Linked DNA regions of Sus scrofa. The protein of the gene in region 1 binds, or shares a complex with, the protein of each later gene. Links are inferred from orthologs where the notes say so. Each region holds a gene or a part of one and is shown in the gene's direction. Other genes may lie near its edges.

The links.
Region 2: POLR2H (region 1) and RRN3 share a complex: the UniProt entries of both Homo sapiens proteins name them as parts of the pol I pre-initiation complex. The link is inferred for Sus scrofa from reciprocal best matches to the Homo sapiens genes POLR2H and RRN3.
Region 3: POLR2H (region 1) and UBTF share a complex: the UniProt entries of both Homo sapiens proteins name them as parts of the pol I pre-initiation complex. The link is inferred for Sus scrofa from reciprocal best matches to the Homo sapiens genes POLR2H and UBTF.
Region 4: POLR2H (region 1) and GTF2H4 share a complex: the UniProt entries of both Homo sapiens proteins name them as parts of the TBP-based Pol II pre-initiation complex. The link is inferred for Sus scrofa from reciprocal best matches to the Homo sapiens genes POLR2H and GTF2H4.
Region 5: POLR2H (region 1) and ZNRD1 share a complex: the UniProt entries of both Homo sapiens proteins name them as parts of the pol I pre-initiation complex. The link is inferred for Sus scrofa from reciprocal best matches to the Homo sapiens genes POLR2H and POLR1H.

What each region holds. Positions count from the first base shown.
Region 1 is NC_010455.5:122,250,139-122,254,432, forward strand, and holds the start of POLR2H (DNA-directed RNA polymerases I, II, and III subunit RPABC3), read left to right. Parts: upstream 1-1,490; 5' UTR 1,491-1,616; coding exon 1,617-1,689; intron 1,690-1,793; exon of another isoform or gene 1,794-1,832; coding exon of another isoform or gene 1,833-1,914; intron 1,915-2,910; coding exon 2,911-2,994; intron 2,995-3,066; coding exon 3,067-3,160; intron 3,161-4,230; coding exon 4,231-4,294. UniProt on the Homo sapiens protein: DNA-dependent RNA polymerase catalyzes the transcription of DNA into RNA using the four ribonucleoside triphosphates as substrates.
Region 2 is NC_010445.4:7,547,979-7,551,490, reverse strand, and holds part of RRN3 (RNA polymerase I-specific transcription initiation factor RRN3), read left to right. Parts: intron 1-1,366; coding exon 1,367-1,497; intron 1,498-3,512. UniProt on the Homo sapiens protein: Required for efficient transcription initiation by RNA polymerase I (Pol I). Required for the formation of the competent pre-initiation complex (PIC).
Region 3 is NC_010454.4:19,003,569-19,006,646, forward strand, and holds the end of UBTF (nucleolar transcription factor 1), read left to right. Parts: intron 1-80; coding exon 81-224; intron 225-315; coding exon 316-441; 3' UTR 442-2,577; downstream 2,578-3,078. UniProt on the Homo sapiens protein: Recognizes the ribosomal RNA gene promoter and activates transcription mediated by RNA polymerase I (Pol I) through cooperative interactions with the transcription factor SL1/TIF-IB complex.
Region 4 is NC_010449.5:23,398,103-23,402,113, forward strand, and holds the start of GTF2H4 (general transcription factor IIH subunit 4), read left to right. Parts: upstream 1-1,202; coding exon 1,203-1,342; intron 1,343-1,604; coding exon 1,605-1,709; intron 1,710-2,047; coding exon 2,048-2,179; intron 2,180-2,454; coding exon 2,455-2,551; intron 2,552-2,642; coding exon 2,643-2,731; intron 2,732-2,941; coding exon 2,942-3,053; intron 3,054-3,182; coding exon 3,183-3,251; intron 3,252-3,734; coding exon 3,735-3,818; intron 3,819-4,011. UniProt on the Homo sapiens protein: Component of the general transcription and DNA repair factor IIH (TFIIH) core complex, which is involved in general and transcription-coupled nucleotide excision repair (NER) of damaged DNA and, when complexed to CAK, in RNA transcription by RNA polymerase II.
Region 5 is NC_010449.5:22,625,408-22,629,682, forward strand, and holds the start of ZNRD1 (DNA-directed RNA polymerase I subunit RPA12), read left to right. Parts: upstream 1-1,463; 5' UTR 1,464-1,596; intron 1,597-1,709; 5' UTR 1,710-1,729; coding exon 1,730-1,865; intron 1,866-2,089; coding exon 2,090-2,190; intron 2,191-2,527; coding exon 2,528-2,637; intron 2,638-4,275. UniProt on the Homo sapiens protein: Core component of RNA polymerase I (Pol I), a DNA-dependent RNA polymerase which synthesizes ribosomal RNA precursors using the four ribonucleoside triphosphates as substrates. Can mediate Pol I proofreading of the nascent RNA transcript.

The sequences.
Region 1 (4,294 bases):
CGGCTACCGAGGTCGGCGCTCAGTAGGACCTGGGGCTGCAGGCTGCTGAACCGTCTAAAGCCGACTTTCGGGCCCAATCTCTCTCGAGAGAGCGGTGCCCTCACTTGCTTTGCTGAAGGAGCCAACGGCTCAGACCGGCCTGGCAAGGCCCCTCTGCTCCGTGGGGGGTGAGAAACAGAACTGGGGAGACTCGGAGGGGGACGCTAGGCCCAGAAGAGGGGTGCTTGGAACTGGAAACTTCGGTTTCTCTCATCCCCCTTCCTTTCTTTGCGACTGTCCCGGGGAGGTGCACCTGGAGCTAGCTGGCCTGAGGCTTGTGCGTGGGTGGAGCCGGAGGGAAGGGAGGTCTAGGTGCTGGGGAGGCCGCTCCTGGGAGGCGGGCGTGGGGGGACAGAGGTCGCTTCTCCTTGGCAGGGCTGAAGAAGAAACCCGAGTAGCTGCTGACGTCTAGCTGCCAAGGGGGAACAGCCTGCTGGGGCTCTGCGTTCTCTATCAGGCTCCGGAGAAGAAAAGTGCAAAGGGTGGGGTGAACAAGTGTGGGGTGAACACAGTCAGAGATAGAGTCAGGGGACAGGCCAGTGCCCAGGAAAACAGGCATTGTGCAGGAGGAGGCAGTACCAGGGTGAAGGGGCAGGTGGGAGGCAGAGGGGGTTCCCAGGAGGGAGTGCCCAGGAAGGGGACAGTGTGAGAACCAGCACCCTAGAGGAACGGGCAGTGTAAAGGAAGAGGTGGTATCCATAGGAGAGGACAATGCCGGGATGAAGGAGCACTTAGGAGAACGTGTCCAGAAGGTGAGCGCAGTGGTGGAGGAAAGGCCAGAACCGAGCCGAAGGGGCAGTACTGAGGAGAGCAGTGTGATGGGGTTAATACCATGCTGAAGGGGCGGTGCGAGGTAAGAAATCAGGGGTGGGGAGGGTGCAGTACCAGAGGAGGAGACAGTGCAGACTTCCCTCTTCCCCATGGTGACATCATGGCAAATTCCCAAAGTGGATATCACCGGGTCGGGTGACATCCAGCTGGGCCCAGCCGGCCTGGGCCAGCCCGGGATTCCTCAGTGCCAGCTAGAAGGACTGGGTACGGCACCCTACTTGGCCATCGCCCTGGGGGCGTGGTTCTGCTCCGCTAGCCCTTTGCGCGGACTGTGCCCTCGGCAGACCCGCGGACCGACAGGGTAGGGCTAGGGCCAGGATTCTCTGGGCCAAGGATCAAGGTCCCTGGCTGGGGTAGGCCCCCAAGCACTCCAGTCTTCCTAACCCGGCATCTGAAGAGGGCGCACTAGAGCCTCCGGAGAGAGCGGGACACCAAGCCACCCCCGGCTGGAGGTGGGACCTATCGTGTTCCCGCCCTGGGAGGAGTTATCTGGACGTGAGACCGCCCTAAACACTGAAGCCTCTCGGAAGCAATCGTTCGGGGCGGAAGTTAAGAAGCCCCGAGAGCTAGGCGGCGGAAGTAGCTGCGTTACTGCTGGTCTGTGCGCATGCGTCCTTCTATTTCTTTGCTGCCGCTCTTCAGGCGCTGCATTTTCCTCTCTCATTTTTCTCCACGCGGGGCCGTGCCCTGCTCCGTAGTCTTCGTCACGCGCTCAGCACCTCTGCTTCTCTCGTGGCCCCCTCACCATGGCGGGCATTCTGTTCGAGGATATTTTTGATGTGAAAGACATTGACCCAGAGGGCAAGAAGTTTGACCGAGGTGAGTAAGGTTTGTAGGGGCGGTTTGGGAGAAGCGGCTGATCTCAGGGACACGCCCCTGGGCCTCTTGTCCACACATTTCATGTGGTCTTCCCCTACCGGCAGGTCCTGACCTAGGGGCCTCTCTCAGGAAACGTTTTATAGATGAGAAAACGGAGACTTCGAGCTCTCCCTCGCTTCACACATGCTGTGCCCGGTGCCTGGGTGACCTTTCTTCATGGTGCTGGTAACCTCCTTGGCATCTTTTTAATCGCTGCCCACTCTGCTAGGCGCTGTGCTGTGCACTTTACACACATTGCCTTACTTATTCCTTTCGAGAGTCTCCACGAGGTAGGTGGTGTCTTACCCATCTTCTGAGAGGCTGAGCAACCCACCCAAGGCTGTACAGCAAATAATCCGACCTCAGGGCCTGTTGCCCTCAGAGTCTTAGCTCTTTGTGAAATCCTCTCTAAGAGTTGACTGCTTGGTATACACCTCCTTGTTCTGACGTTGATCAAGAATTATTTGTCCTTGGTGTCTCTTCCTTTGCTTAGAGACTGAGATATTCTTCAGAACAAACAGCAGGTGTTTGTTTGTTTGTTTGATTTTGTCTTTTTAGGGCCAGACGTAAGGACATATGGAGGTTCTCAGGCTAAGGGTCGAGTCAGAGCTACAGCTGCAGGCCCCACACCACAGCCACAGCAACGCCAGATCCAAGCCCCGTCTGAGACTTATACCACAGCTCACAGCAACACCAGATCCTTAATCCCCTGAGCTGATCCTTAACCCACAGAGTGAGGCCAGGGATTGAACCCCCATCCTCATGGATACTAATCAGGTTTGTTACCACTGAGCCACGGACAAGACCTCCCCAAACAGCAGTTCTTAATAATCTCCTTAGCACAGCGCCTGGCACGGAAAGGCAAAACCTTTGGATGACTGACTTGCCCCAGAGCAGGTTGTTTCTTAGTCACCCATGCAGGCCTAGAACGTGATATTATTTGTTGCCAGAGGACCTTTGATTCTTTTCTGGGCATTCTGTCCACCAGCCATAGTTTTCTGCCTCTTTGCTTGTATATGTGGTTCTTATTGAGCCTGTACTTCTATGAGAGCAGATGAGAGGCCATTGGATACAGATTAAGTATTCTGTGCATACAGTTTCTCAAAGTGGGGTCTGCCCTGCCCTTGAGGGTCTACTTGGCCAGGCAGTTACCTCTGCTGCTCTTTTTCTGTTTCCCTCCAGTGTCTCGACTGCATTGTGAGAGTGAATCTTTCAAGATGGACCTCATCTTAGATGTAAACATTCAGATTTATCCTGTTGACCTGGGTAAGTGTTGAACACAAACAATAACAGCAAGTGTTTTTGCATTTCAGACTCTGATATTGCTGTTATTTTCAGGTGACAAGTTCCGGTTGGTGATAGCCAGTACTTTGTATGAAGATGGTACTCTGGATGATGGTGAATACAACCCCACAGATGATAGGCCTTCCAGGTGAGGAAGTACTTGAAATATGCCTGAGGACTAAATAGATAAGTAGTACAGAAAGACCCTTAGTTACTTCATAGAATAAATGTTTATGAACAGAATCTATGTAAACTTAAGGAAATTGCCGCACTTAATTCAAACAGGAGTTCCTGTTGTGCCTCAGTGGTAATGAACCTAACTAGCATCCATGAGGATGCAGCTTCCATCCCTGGCCCTGCTCAGTGGGTTAAGGATCCGGCGTTGCTGTGAGCTGTGGTGTAGGTTGCAGACATAGCTTAGATCTGGTGTTGCTGTGGCTGTGGTGTAGACGTGTAGCTGCAACTCCGATTCTACCCCTAGCCTTGGAACTTCTATATGCCTTGAGTGCGGCCCTTAAAAAAAAAAAAAGACAACAACGAAGGATACAAACAATGAGTTCTCTGGGAGCTCAGCAGGTTAAGGATCTGCTGTGGCTCGGGTTGCTGCTGTGGCCTGGGTTTGATCCCTGGCCTGGGAACTTCCTTGTGCTGTGGGTGTGGCCCCCCCAAAAAAATAAATAAAAGGGAGAGTTCAGACATCCAGGTGTTTATCCAGAGCAGTGATTACAGCATGAGTTGCAGCTTTTTGGGGGAAGGGGGGCATGCCCACAGCATGCAGAAGGTCCTGGGGCCAGGGATCGAACCTCTGCCACAGCAGTGACATTTCCAGATCCTTAATCATTAGGCCACCAGGAAACCTCGAGTTGTAGCTTTTTGATGGCTGAGGAAATGACCACTGAATGACGTAGGCTGTGTAAGTCTTGTGTCTCAGGAGGGAATTTTGTGTGAGGAAAGGCTTTAGAGCCCCACTCAGTTCACATCTCATCTCTATCACTTATTTGTTGAATAACATTTGACTTCCTTCAACCTTAGTTTCTTCATCAGTGAAATACCTACAGTTATACCTCGCTCACAGGGTTGCTGTCGGGACTAAATGATGTGATGTTTGGAAAGTGCCTGTTGTTATGATGTTGGCACTTAGTTATCAGTTACCATTTTTAAAGGGTCTCTTATTATTGTTGACTGTGTATAACAATAACTGCCACTATTGTTCCACAGGGCTGACCAATTTGAGTATGTAATGTATGGGAAAGTGTACAGGATTGAGGGAGATGAAACTTCT
Region 2 (3,512 bases), on another chromosome or scaffold:
CATTAACCCACTGAGCAAGGGCAGGGACCGAACCCGCAACCTCATGGTTCCTAGTCGGATTCGTTAACCACTGCGCCACAACGGGAACTCCCTATTATTAGCATTTTTATGTTTTACTTTCCTGTTTGCATGGCTATATGAGTGTTTTTCTCAGTGATCCGGCAGAATCACACTGTAAGTGGTTTATTATCTGCCCTTTTCACCTATTGTGAACATTTTTCTCATCCCATTCATTGTTATTCTAAAATAGTTATTGCTAATCATATAGATTTAACTGGTCTCTCCTTTTTTTTCCTCCCCCTGCTATTTATGTATTTATTTATTTTTGCTTTTTAGGGCTGCACCAGTGGCATATGGAGGTTCCCAGGCCAGGGGTTGAACTGGAGCTACAGCTGCTGGCCTACACCACAGCCACAGCAATGTGGGATCTGAGCCGCCTCTGCAACCTACACCACGGCTTATGGCAACACCGGATCCCTAACCCACTGAACGAGGCCAGGGATGGAACCTGCATCCTCATGGATCCTAGTCAGGTTCATTAACCACTAATCCACAAAGGGAATGCCCAATGATGTTTTAAAACCACCCCCATGCTTTTTTTTTTGGCCATTATAAATAACAGTGTAACGAACGTTCTTATGCATATATCTTCGATTATTTCTGTGTGGTGAATTCCCAGCAGTTGAGTCGCTGGATCAAAGGGCTTCTTCTAAGTTGCGCTTTGACAGTTTATGGCATCACAGGAGTGTGTGTGTGAGATGAGTGCCTCTTTCTTGCCACTGCTGGGTTGTTATACGTGAAAAGGAAAACCTGTGCAAGATGAAGATGGCTTTTTTTTCCCCTATAGGTCAATGGATGATGTGTTGTTGTTTTTTTTAAATAAAATTTTATTGGAGTATAGTTGACTTAGAAAGTTGTGTTAGTTTCAGGTATACAGCAGTGTAAATCAGTTATACAGGTATCCGTTGAGGATGTGTTTCTTTTTCTATTTTTTTGGTCTTTTTTTTTGTTTGTTTTTTTTTTAAGGGCCACACTTGCAGCATGTGGAGGTTCCCAGTCTAGGGGTCAGATCGCAGCTGTAGCTGTCAGCCTATCCCACGGCTACAGCAATGCTAGATCAGAGCCCATTTGTTTGCAACTTATATCACAGGTCTCAGTGAGGCCGGATCCTTAACCCACTGAGCAAGGTCAGGGACTGAACCTGTGTCCTCATGGATACTAGTCTAGTTCATTAACCACTGAGCCATGACAGACCTCCATGACGTGTTTCTTAGTAGTTTTATTTTCTTTTTAAAAATTGATAAGTGAAACTGGTAGCTTGAAAATTATATCTTTATAGAACTGAAATGCCAAATTTTCTTTGTAGGTAAGATTGATAACAACAAGACAAAGGATTTATATCGAGATCTCATAACCATCTTTGACAAACTCCTGTTGCCCACACATGCCTCCTGCCACGTGCAGTTTTTTATGTTTTACCTCTGTAGCTTTAAATTGGTGAGTATGTCGTTAACATAATTGTAGCTTATTTTAGTCTCACCCACAATTTTCCATTTAAAAATGAGGGATGAGGGGATGGTATGGAAAGGGAGACCGAGGTGAGTATTTCGTTGTCTTCAGCTCATTTTACTTAGTGCCTCTAATAATAGCCAGCCCTTTTGGGGAGTTCCCATTGCGGCTCAGTAGAACCCGGCTAGTATCCATGAGGATGTGGGTTTGATCCCTGGCCGCACTCAGTGGGTTAAGGATCTGCATTGCTGTGAGCTGTGGTGTAGGCCAGCAGCCATTGTAAGCCCCAATTCAACTCCTAGCCCCAGAACTTCCATATGCCATACTTCTGGCCATTAAAAAAAAAAAATAAATAAATAAATAAAAAATAGGAAGCCCTTTTCAATATAAGGAAGAAGCAGAGGGCTTCATCTGAGTGCAGTTCATCTGAGTGCTCGGAAAGTGTCATCCCGTGTTTGGTCCGCTAGGCGGTGCTCTTCCTTTCAATTCAAGCCTTAATTAAAATCTCATATTGGATATTTAACTGTTTTATTTTCTTTCAGTTGCTCTTAAGTAGCCCAAACTAAATTTTTTTTAATCTAGAATTTTAAAACTTTAGGCATTGGTTTTCTATTTTGAGAACAAAGCAAAACCAAAAAAATAGAGGCCTCTTTTTGCAACTCTTTCGTAGCTTCCTCGAATAGTCTGGAAGGGTGTTGGTCCTGGGCAGGAAGGTTCACCTCACTCTGCCTCAAAGCGTGTGTTAGCAGCTTCTGAAAAGAGCTATTTGGGAAAAGATGGAGGTTGCATCCTTTGTTTTAAAAAAAAACTTAATTGGTCTGTTTTTTCCCCTATGATTTGCATAATGAGTCAAAAACCAACTGTAATTTAATCCCTATTTCTGTTTCTGGTTAAGTTGAACGTGTGCAGTCTGAGAGGCACTGCAGAAGGGTTCCCATGGGTGCAGATTATCGCTGGTTTCGAGTGCCGGCTAAATCTCAGAATCACTTGTAGAGCTTTAGAAATAGCCCGGTCACAAATCCAAGGGTTCCAAAGCCCTGAATCTATAGGGTTAGTTTTCATGTTCAGCTAGTTTTTAGATCCATTGAATTATTTAATGCTGGGGAACACCTTTTGTTGTTAATGTATATTATCTCAAGACATTTTAAAAATAACCACAATAACCGTATTCATGGAGTTCCCATCGTGGCTCAGTGGTTAACGAATCCAACTAGGAACCATGAGGTTGCGGGTTTGATCCCTGGCCTTGCTCAGTGGGTTAAGGATCCAGAGTTGCTGTGAGCTGTGGTGTAGGCCTGTGGCTACAGCTCCGATTGGACCCCTGGCCTGGGAACCTCCATATGCCGAGGGTGCAGCCCTAGAAAAGGCAAAAAGACTGAAAAAAAAAAGTATTCATTATCTGTTTAGTAGTATAACTGAGATACCAGAACTTTCTCGTATAAGTGAGTTAAAAATCTTAGGATTCTGATAGCCAGAATATCTTAAGAATTTAAAAAAAGATGAGGAGTCCCCATCATGGCACAGCAGAAATGAATCTGACTAGGAACCGTGAGGTTGCGGGTTCGATCCCTGGCCTCGATCAGTTGGTTGGGGATCCCGAGTTGCCGTGAGCTGTGGTGTAGGTCACAGACTCGGCTTGGATCTGGCATTGCTGTGGCTGTGGCGTAAGCCTTCGGCTACAGCTCTGATTAGACCCCTAGCCTGGGAACCTCCTTATGCCGAGGGTGCAGCCCTAAAAAGACCAAAAAATAAACAAATAAAAAAATTAAAAAAGAAGATGAGACCTGGGAGTTCCCATTGTGGCTCAGCAGTTAACAAACCTGACTAGCATCCATGAGAACTCCAGTTTGACCCCTGACCTCTGCTCAGCGGGTTAAGGATATGGCGTTGCCATGAGCTGTGGTGTAGGTCACAGATGTGGCTTGGATCTGGTGTTGTGTGGCTGTGGCATGGGCTGGCAGCTGTAGCTCTGATTAGACCCCTAGCCTGGGAACCTCCATATG
Region 3 (3,078 bases), on another chromosome or scaffold:
AGGAGCCCCTCCCAGGAGGAGGGCCCCGTGCAGGGTCCAGGGCGCGGCAGGGACCCCTGATGGGCTTCCATCCCTCGCAGGAGTCTGAGGAGGACGATGAAGAGGATGAGGAGGACGAGGACGAGGACGAGGAGGAGGAAGATGACGAGAACGGGGACTCCTCCGAGGATGGCGGCGACTCCTCCGAGTCCAGCAGCGAGGACGAGAGCGAGGACGGGGATGAGGTGGGGCGGGCGGGCAGGCGGGCGGGCGGGAGGGCGGGACGGGGTCCCGCCAGCACGGCCCCCTGGTGACTGCACTTCCCTTGCCTCCCAGAACGAGGATGAGGATGAGGACGAGGACGACGACGAGGATGACGACGAGGACGAGGACAACGAATCCGAGGGCAGCAGCTCCAGCTCGTCCTCCTCGGGGGACTCCTCGGACTCTGACTCCAACTGAGGCTCAGCCCCACGCGGGGCGCCCCTCCTCGACTGACCACCTTTGTTTCTCTCCCATGTTCTGTCCCCTGCCCCCTGGCCTCCCCCACTTTCTTTCTTTCTTTTTCTTTTTTCTTTTTTTTTAAAAAAAAAAACAAAATACAGTGGGGAGAGGCACTGGAGGCGCCCAGGCTAGAACTCTGCGGCCTTAGAGCCATCAGCCCTGGAGGGCCCTCCAGGGAGCGCAACCACCAGACTGAGCCACCACTGGACCGGCCCAGCCCACCCCTCTTTTGCACTCGCAGTTCCGGCATGGACAATGGACCTGGGAGTGGGATCGGGGGTGGGTCCCAAAGAGTTCTCTGAGGCCCTCTACACCTGCAGCCCAACCCCTGGGAGGGTGGAAGCTTGGGGAAGGCCCCTTTGTTTCCAGAGGGGCTGCAGCCTGGACCCCTACATTGGAACTGGAGGCAGGGGACATGGGAGAGGAGGGCGGGTGCCTATGGGGAAATAGGCACGGCCCCCCAGCCCTCTCCCCTGCCCCCTGCAGGAAGGAGCTGCCTGGACCCACTCACGAGGGGAGGGGGCAGAAGTGTTTTTTATATATGTGTATATATTTTTTTTTTTAAGCTCTGAGCTGTCAACGAGACGTTTCCTACCGATCTCGGCTGCCGTCTCTGTTGTCATTTCTGGGAGAGGGAGGGGGTAGGGGTTAGGTTTGGGACTTTTTTAAAACGGTCTTGATGCGTGTGGAAAAATGCGTGTGTGTGCGTGTGTGTGTGCGTGGCCTGTACATAGCATGGGTGCACCTGTGGATGTGTGCAAAGGCACATGTGTATTTGTGTGTGTAAGAGAGGAGGAGGAGCCCACCTCAAGTCTGTGAATCTGGTGAAAGTGTTGGTGCGGGCCGGGGTGACATTGATCCTGATGGGGACAGGCTGGGTGGCCCCTTTCTCCATATCTTCTGCTTTGCCGAATCTCGGATTCAGTTTTGCGGGGTGACCGAAGCTCCTCTGATGCTTCTCATACTGGTTTCCCTCTGAGCTACTGCTGGTCTCCAATATCCAGCAGGATGGCGGAGAGGGGAACAGACCAGGTAGAACCTTAAAGCTTTGATTTGGTGGGAAAGGCCTCTGCAGCTCATCTGAGAGGCCTCCCGGCCACCCTGGGCTCCGAGAAATGTGTTGGAAGCTTGTAACTTACACGTCGCTCCTGCCTTTCCGCCACATCCTCCAGCTCCCCCACCCCCATTTCCTTTGATTTCTCAGGTCTGCCCACCTCCCCAAACCCACGGCTGGGGAAGAGGTCTGCACAAGCTGTTTTTGCAGCTGTCCTAACCCTTCCCAGCCATCCCCCCAATTTTGGTACCCCGATTCCTAAACTCTTAATAAGCCAAGCCACCTTGTCTCTGGGTTTAAATTTGGGGGGGTTGTTTTTATTAAATTTTGACTTTTTTTTTTTTAAACAATCACATCGTTGACCTATCTAATCGGGGCTTTGTGCTTTTCCACCTTCCCCTCTGAATGAAAGCCAAGGGATGGGGAAGAGTGGGAGCTCCGCCCAGGAGGCGGGCTGGGAAAGGTGGGTCCTGCTCCCAAAGGCAGGCGGTCCGCTTTGCCTTGGACTTGGTGCTGGGAGTGGGGGGAGCTAGGGAGGGACACTTCCCACTCCCACTCCCCTTCCTTTGTCCTGATCCTGGAATTAGGTACAAGGGTTCATAGGTTCTATTTCTTCCGGAGAGCCCCTGCAGAGAACCCTGTTTCCCTGTTTGAATGCTCCTGCGCTGTTGTGTTTTAGTGAAACATGTCTTCACTTAAAACCAACTTCGAGCGGGGCACTGTTTCTTTCCCCCCGTTTTGAAAGTTGAAAAATTCTTACAGTACAAACAGGGCTGTGGGGGGTTAGGGTGTTGGTGCTGTGAGAGGTCACTCTGAGTGCATTTTGGCACTGGGATGGGATGGCTGGGGTGGGAGGACCCCGCTCCCCCCCCTTTTTTCTAATATTTAAGGAGTGTTTTTGTAGGTTTCAACAACAACCACAACTTGAATTTGTAACATGGGAGGTGGGAGGGAATGGCTTAGAGGTGTCCGCCTAAGCTTAAGGCCAACTGTGGAAGTTTTGTTTTCCCTTTTTTTGTACAATAAAGTAAAAAAACAAAGGTTTGAGTGCTGTCTGATCACTGGACTCCATGAAGGGGGAGTGGTGGCAGAGGTGACCGAACAGGCTCAATGTGGAAAGCCCCTTGAAGCCAGCTTCTTGGCCTCTTCTTTCTAGAACCATCTTCCTCTCTCCTGAAGATGCCATAGGCAACCTACCTTCGCACTGTTTTGTGCTACTGGGGGTTTTTTTGTTTGTTTTGTTTTGCTTTGTCTTTTTGCCTTTTCTTGAGCCCCTCTTGCAGCATATGGAGGTTCCCAGGCTAGGGGTTGAATCGGAGCTGTAGCCACCAGCCTACACCAGAGCCACAGCAACTCGGAATCCTAGCTGCATCTGTGACTCACACCACAGCTCACGGCACCGCCGGATCCTTAACCCACTGAGCAAGGGCAGGGACCGAACCCGCAACCTCATGGTTCCAAGTCAGATTCATTAACCACTGCGCCACGACGGGAACTCCTTGTGCTACTGTTTTTGCACTTTCTCGATTCAGTTGGTTCAC
Region 4 (4,011 bases), on another chromosome or scaffold:
CGAGGAGCAACTGAGCTCAAGGAACCCAGGTTTCTGCATCTCTGAACCTGAGCTCCTCACCACCCAGTGGTTTCCGCACCTCGGATAGGAAGACCTCGGGGAACTTCTATTCTCAGGGTCCCCACATGATCTCGGGTTGGTTAGACTCGCCGTTAGCCGAGTGGGTGGAGAGCGATGCGGAACGAACAGCCAGACCTCCGGAGCCTCCGGCTCTCTTACGTAAAAGCCAGCCTCTCTCCGCTTGGCTCCCCGCAGTGCCTTTTGGGAGTTGTAGTCGGACGCGCTTCAGCTGGCTCCCGGGCTGGGAAGGACAAGACTCCAATTCCCAGCATGCCCTGTGGCGAGCGAGTGCAGCGCCGGTTCTTCTCCTCCCTACCTCTCCACTCCTCTTCTGAATCCTCCACTCTGGACTTGCGTGGGTGAAATCCTTCGTCCCCCTCCCCATATTTTTCGCTCACTTTCCGCCATTCTTTCCCCTATTCCTGAGAGCTAATGCGAGACACTGGCTCCGATTAAGCGACGGCTTAAGACTCGGAGTGCACGAGGAGGGGGTCGACACTGAGTGGTAAGGGGGCTGGGAGAGAAGGGGTGGCGGGAGGTATAAGAAGGAGAGAGTTGATGAGAGACGAGCATTGGGAAGAAAGTAGGGGACGAGTTAGGAGGAGATCATACGGTGTGAGTCAGGGTGAATGGAGTGAAGTAGTCTTAGGGACGGGAAGAGGAAAGAGGTGGAATTAGATTTATGAGACTTGGAGGGGAAAGGTAATTATTGCCGTTCCCAGCACGAGGAGTGGGGTCAAGAAATAGATGGAGAGAATGGGCAGATTGAAGTTTATAGGCTGATCAGACCAGGAGAGGTCGAGGGGAGAGAGAACTGGGCTCAGAAAACTTTCTTTGCCTAGGGTGTAGATAAGTCACTGAAATACAAAATATTTTTGCAAATATGGAACAGCTGACAATTCTTTCACTTAGAAATTGGAGAAGACTTGAGTTGAGATCAGGAGTGCAGTGAGGAGGGAGGAAAGAAGAGGAGGGTGGTCAGGTTTGGGAGAAACAAGAGGAGATGAGTGACGTGAAAAAGGAAACTGTAGAAAAGATGAATTTTTGCAGGGGCCAGTGGATCTGGAATTGGAATGAGAACGGTGAGGGGGTGACACTGGCATGGATTTCGGAGGTCCACTAACACTTGCATCTCTCAGGTGATGGAGAGCACCCCTTCAAGGGGTGGACTGAATCGAGTACACCTACAATGCAGGAATCTGCAGGAATTCTTAGGGGGCCTGAGCCCTGTTGTATTGGACCGATTGTATGGGCACCCTGCCACCTGTTTGGCTGTCTTCAGGTGAGGACCCCGTTCATGGCAGGGACCATAGTAGGGAAATGTAATGAGGCCTGCAGACTGCAATAAGTTATCATGGGTAGAAGCTTAGCTCTGGGGGGCTTGGAGACTAAAATGTGTCAGGCCCAAACAGATGGAGATGTGGGGGCAGGAAGACTGGTAAAAGGGCCAGGGGTGAGATGAGATGTTTGAGAGGCATTTGAGGGCAGGGATGCAGATCTGAGGCAGTTTCTGATATTAACGTTTTCCCTCTGCCCCCTTATAGGGAGCTCCCATCTTTAGCTAAGAACTGGGTGATGCGGATGCTCTTTCTGGAGCAGCCTCTGCCACAAGCTGCCGTAGCCTTGTGGGTGAAGAAGGAATTCAGCAAGTGAGTCTCTGCTGCACTTTCAGCCAGATACAAATTTCTCAACAGCCAGGTTTCCCAAACTGCTGGAGTATATTCAAGGGAACACCACTAAACTTGTAATTAAACAAGTTTGGGAAACTACGCATACTCCATTTTGCCTCTTGGAGAGTTGTGATGTCTATAACAAGGTTCTGGTAGGTGCTGCAGTAAAGAAATTTGCCTTAAGAAGATACCAATTTCACTCTGTGAAACAGTGTTCCAAGGACCACCAGTTCAGAAAAGGCAGAAATGGTGGTCTTTATGGGCTTCCTTCCTTTTGTTCTCTGGACACTCCCCTCACCTCTCCTCTTCTGTTCCAGAGCCCAGGAGGAAAGCACGGGGCTGCTGAGCGGCCTCCGTATCTGGCACACCCAGCTGCTCCCTGGTGGCCTCCAGGGCCTCATCCTCAACCCCATCTTCCGCCAAAACCTCCGCATTGCCCTTCTGGGTGGGTATGTCACTTCCATCTTTTCCTAGGCCAGGCAGGGGAACTAGTGATTAAACTGCTCATTAAACTACTTATTAAGAGGCCCTGGGGGACCTCTCTGGAACCTTGTGGGCTCCACCTTTGGGAGCTCCTTTAGGAATAAGTTGGACCAGACTTTGCTACGTGGTATAGGATATGTCTCCCACTCGTGGCCCCTGGAGATGAGGGTAGAAAGAGGGAAGGGGGGTGGTGGGCAGGGAACACAGGCAGGGTTCCTTACTCTCGGCCGTACTGGCATAGGGGCAAGGCCTGGTCTGATGACACAAGTCAGCTGGGACCAGACAAGCATGCCCGGGATGTGCCCTCGCTTGACAAGTATGCTGAGGAGCGATGGGAGGTAAGGACTTGGGACTCTGTGTGTGTCTGCTTGTGCTCCCATCCCAGGGCCCTTAGAGGCATCTGTCTCTCTGGTCTCTTCTGTTCCTCAGGTGGTCCTGCACTTCATGGTGGGCTCCCCCAGTGCAGCCGTCAGCCAGGACTTGGCTCAGCTCCTCAGCCAGGCTGGGCTCATGAAGAGGTGAGGAAGACAGAGGTACAACAGCTCTGTTTTGCCGTCTCCTCGAGTCCCTGCTAACCTGAGTGTTTGGGTCGGATCAGGATTGGAGGGGGTTGGCTGCAAAAGGAGAGCTGCGTAGAGCATGGCCAGAGATAAACCAAGAAAAATGTGAGCGGACAAGTGGAATGGTGGCCTTTCTCAGCAAACCTCTGCCATGGTCCCTTTCTGTAGTGCTGAACCTGGAGAGCCGCCTTGCATTACCTCTGCGGGCTTCCAATTCCTGTTGTTGGACACCCCGGCCCAGCTCTGGTACTTTATGTTGCAGTACCTGCAGACAGCCCAGGTGAGGAGGTCGGGGGCTGCCTGCTGGCATGCTCTGCTTTTCCCAGGACCCACTGAGGGCCTGCTGCCTGTAGACTCTGTTCCCCGGTTTTCTCTCATTTCCTCCCCACATCTGCCCGTTCCTCCTTAGAGTCGGGGCATGGACCTAGTGGAGATTCTCTCCTTCCTCTTCCAGCTCAGCTTCTCTACTCTGGGCAAGGTAAGCAGGGGGCTGGAGCTAGTAGAGGCTTGGGTGGGCAAGATGAAGGGTAGAGAGATGGAAAAGGAAATGAGGTTAGGGGTCAATAGAGTGAAAGAGAAGAATGAACAAAGAGGAGTTCCCGTCGTGGCTCAGCGGTTAACAACCCAATTAGCATCCATGAGGACGCAGGTTCAATCCCTGACCTCGCTCAGTGGGTTAAGGATCCCGTGTTGCTGTGAGCTGTGGTGTAGGTTGCAGACGCGGCTCGGATGCCGCGTTGCTGTGGCTATGGTGTAGGCCAGCAGCTGCAGCTCTGATTGGACCCCTAGCCTGGGAACCTACATATGCCACCCGTGCGACCCTAGAAAGACAAAAAGACAAAAGCAAAAAACAAAAAAACGAAGAACACCAGGGATGGGAAAAGTGGGAAGGAGCATATGGGGTTGGGGAAGGGAGAATGGGCTGGGTTTTGGACCCCAGCCGGCTACCTCTCTTCCCCAGGATTACTCTGTGGAAGGTATGAGTGATTCTCTGTTGAACTTCCTGCAACATCTCCGTGAGTTGGGCCTTGTTTTCCAGAGGAAGGTATGAGCGCCCAGATACATGGCTTTTAGGGAAGAGGCAGGGTGGTATGTTGCCTTGGCCTTTCAAAAGGAACAGGGGTCTCCGAAGGCAGAAGCAGGGGACAGTTGCCAGGACAGAATACTGGGGTCCCTCGGGGGAGGGGGAGAGATGTTGGGAGCTGAAGTTCTGTGCATTGGGAGGGATCTGATGTATC
Region 5 (4,275 bases), on another chromosome or scaffold:
AGTCTGCCCAGTCTACTCTATGTATCAGTGAGGTTTTGGGTTTTTGTTTTTTGGCACCCCGCAGCATATGGAGTTCCTGGGCCGAGAACAGATCTGAGCCACAGTTGCAACCTAAGCCCCAGCTGAGGCAAAGCTGGGTCCTTAATCCATGGTGCCAGGCCAGGGATTGAACATTTGTCCCAGTGTTCCCAAGACGCTGCCCATCCCATTTTGCCATAGAGTGGAACTCCTGTATCAGTGATTTTTGCCTTCCGATGAATACAAAGTAAAAAATAGAAGTAAAAAATATAACTTCTACAATTTATTTGAAAATCAGTCATGGGAGTTCCTGTTGTGGTGCAGCAGAAACAAATCCAACTAAGAACCATGAGGTTGCGGGTTTGATCCCTGGCCTCGATTAGTGGGTTAAGGATCTGGCCTTGCCCTGAGCTGTGGTGTAGGTCACAGACATGGCTCAGATCCTATGTTGCTGTGGCTGTGCCATAGGTGGGCAGCTGTAGCTCTGATTCAACCCCTAGCCTGGGAACCTTCATATCCTGTAAGTGCAGCCCTAAAAAGCAAAAAAAAGCAAAAACAAAAAACAAAACAAAACAAACAAACAAACAAACAAACAAAAGGAAAAACAAAAGAACAAAACGAAACATAGCTCAAGCAACAGCAAAGCCAGATCGTTAACCCACTGAGCGAGGCCAGAGATCGAACCCACAACCTCATCGTTTCTAGTCGGATTTGTTTCTGCTGTGCCACAACATGAACTCAAAATACAAAAAACATTTTGATGCTGAAATTTAAACATATAAAGAGTGGGAACTATGATTTTTAATCTACAAATACCATGATCTCTCTCTTTTTTCTTTTTAAGGCTGCACCTGTGGTATATGGAAGTTCCCAAGCTAGGGTCTGAATCAAAGCTGCAACTGTGATCTACACTATAGACAAGGCAACAGCCACCAAAGCACATGAGCCATACCGGGTCCTGCAGAGAGCCCTTGCTTGGGTCGCAAGGCCCAAAGAATGCTAGAATTACTCCCAGAATATTTCGCTTTGTTTTCTACCACTGTCCAACCGCCACAGTGAAGTGCAGATTCAGGAACCGCTGGAGTTTGCAGTTCTCCAGTCCAAATAAATAAATTAGTACTCTATAAGGTTGGTCCGACTTCTCAGGAGAAACGCTCCCCGCGACTGGGTCCTGGTAAAATTCGAGACCAATAAAATAAACATCCCAGGACTGAGTCCTGAAGGGAAAAAATAACCTGAGGCAGGCGCAGCTTCGTCACCTATTTTCGTATCCAACGTAACAGAACCAGGCTGAAGGGGGCGCCACAATCTTCCTTCAGAACCGCTCCTCTCCCTCTCCAGGCTCTCGGGATCACAGTTGCAATTAATTATGACGTCACAGCCAATCGAGAGCCGGGACGCGTGGACTCTCTAGCCCGCCACGCGCTCGCTGCTCGGTTGCCCGCGCGGAGCCGGCGCTCTAGCCCGTGAAGTTGACTTGCTCCTCTCGCCTGCCCCAGGAAAGACCCCCAGCGTAGTTGTACCCGACGCGGGATAGGGATTCCGGAAGTTTGGGCTCCTTAGTCACAGAGGCACAAGGTATGCGTAGGAAGAAATCTCGGGTTCTGCATGCTTACGTCCAGGGACAGAATAGGCATGACCTCTCTGGGGAAGGGGCTACTCTCTTAATAAACTCCTCATCCCCTTCCCAGCCCTCGACCACCCGTCTGTCATGGACCTCGCCCGCACATCCTCTAGCTTTCAGTCGGACTTGGATTTCTGTCCGGATTGCGGCTCGGTCCTGCCTCTGCCCGGGACTCAGGATGCGGTCATTTGTACTCGCTGTGGCTTCTCCATCAACGTGCGGGGTGAGGTGCTGCTACGCCGCGGCTGGGGCGGAGGAGGGCCCATGGGGATCTCAAGATCGATTGGATTAAAGACGGGGACCCGAAAGCGCAGGATCAGGCACTTATACTTTTGGTCGGCACGAAACCTGATGGGTAGAATATAGCTTCCTGGCCTAACAGAGAGGGATTAGTGTGGTGTCAGCCCCCTCCGCTGTCTCCACAACCAATTCTTACTGCCCGCGCAGACTTTGAGGGGAAGGTTGTGAAGACCTCAGTTGTGTTCCAGAAAGTGGGGACAGCCATGCCTATGTCGATGGAGGAAGGACCTGAGTTCCAGGGACCCGTGGTAAGTGAATCACGTCGAGGACTGGCCCTGTAAAGAGGGTGGGAACGAAACGGAGGGCTCAGATCTGGAGAGTTTTGTACACAACAGGGAAGAAGAGTCTTTAAAACAGTAGTGACTGGGGAGAGTTTTCTTGTGGTGCAGCCGGGTGTTAAGGATCTGGCCGGCATTGTCACTACAGCGGTTTAGGTCGCTTCTGTGGCACGGGTTCGATCCTCGGCCTGGAAACTTACACGTACTGCAGGTGCAGCAAAACAAAAACCAGCAGTATCTGAGGAGTGTGGTAGCTTGATGTCTGTGAGAAGTAGTGGGAATTATTAACCTACCAGTTGCTTCCCAGGTTGACAGGCGCTGTCCTCGTTGTGGTCATGAGGGAATGGCATACCACACCAGACAGATGCGCTCAGCCGATGAAGGGCAGACTGTCTTCTACACCTGTACCAACTGCAAGTGCGTATCCTTTCCCTCCATTCTGCCCCTTCTGGGTCTCTTTGCTGCCAAAATCCCGTGATTTAATTTAAATCCAGTGGTTTAATTTTTGTACTTTTTGGACTGGTCGCATCCTTCATTTCTGTACAGTTCAAGTAATAGGTTTGTGATCGTTTTCTTCCTTCCTTCCATCCTTTCTTTCTTTCTTCCTTCCTTTCTTTCTTTCTTTCTCTCTCTCTCTCTCTTTCTTTCTTTCTTCCTTCCTTCCTTCTTTCCTTCCTTCCTTCCCTCCCTCCTTCCTTCCTTCCTTCCTTCTTAGGGCTGCACCCCGTGGCATATGGAGATTCCCAGGCTAGGGGTCACATCCGAGCTGTAGCCTCTGGCCTCACCACAGCAACAGCAACGCCAGATCACAGCAACACCGGATCCCAGCTGCGTCCACAACTTACACCGCAGCTCACAACAATGCCAGAGCCTTAACCCACTGAGTGAGGCCAGGGATTGAACCACATGGTTCCTAGTCGGATTTGCTTGTGCTGCTGTGCCACGATGGGAAGTTCTGTGGTCTTTTTAAATTTTAAATAATTACTCTTTTCCTATCTTTTTATACCCAGTGAATTAAACCTTTTACAATAGTTAAAAGGAAATGAGTATTGGTTTGTGATCAGTGTGTTATGTTGGACTCCTCCACTGCCCTCAAGGTAGTTTTACTTTGGTGAGAGTCAGTCATGGATGATTTAAAAAACATGGGTTCTTTATTTTTATTTCTTTATTTTTTTTTGTCTTTTTGCCTTTTCTAGGGCCGCTTCCCGAGGCATATGGAGGTTCTCAGGCTAGGGTCTAATCAGAGCTGCAGCCGCTGGCCGACGCCACAGCCACAGCAATGTGGGATCCGAGCCAAGACTGCAACCTACACCACAGCTCACAGCAATGCCAGATCCTTAACCCACCGAGCAGCCAGGGATCGAACCCACAACCTCATGGTTTCTAGTCGGATTCGTTAACCACTGCACCACGACGAGAACTCCCAGAACATGGGTTCTTTAAAACATAGTTTTAAGAATTCCTCTTTGTCTTTGGTGTCCTTCAATTTCACTACAATCTATCAAGATGTGGCTTTCTTTTATTTATCCTGTTTGGGATGTGTTGGGCCTTCCAACAGTGAGGGTTGACCTTTTTTCCCCCATCAACCTTGGAAAATTATCAGCTGTTATCACACTGAATATTTCCCTCATATGCTCAGTTCTCATATTCTTAGAGTTCTAACTGATTAGCTCTTTATTAGGCCTTATCTTCTATCCTCCATTTCTCTCACCCTGTCTCCCATATTTTCCATCTCTTTTCTCTTTATGCTGTTTCTGGATAGATTTTTTAGTTCTGTTTGATTTTTTTGTGGCCATGCCGGCAACATGTGGATATTCCTGGGCCAGGGATCAAACCCTAGCCCCTGCAGTGACAGTGCTGGACTTTAACCCACTGCACCACAAGGGAAATCCTGATTATTTTTCAAATCATCTTAGTTATTTTTAATAATTCCCAATTCCTTAATCATATTTTAAGTGGTTCTTTTTATTCATAAAACATATTACATGTAAACATTAAACATGATATTTATGTTCTATGTCTGTTAATTCTCAAACCCACTGTTTTTGTGGGTCT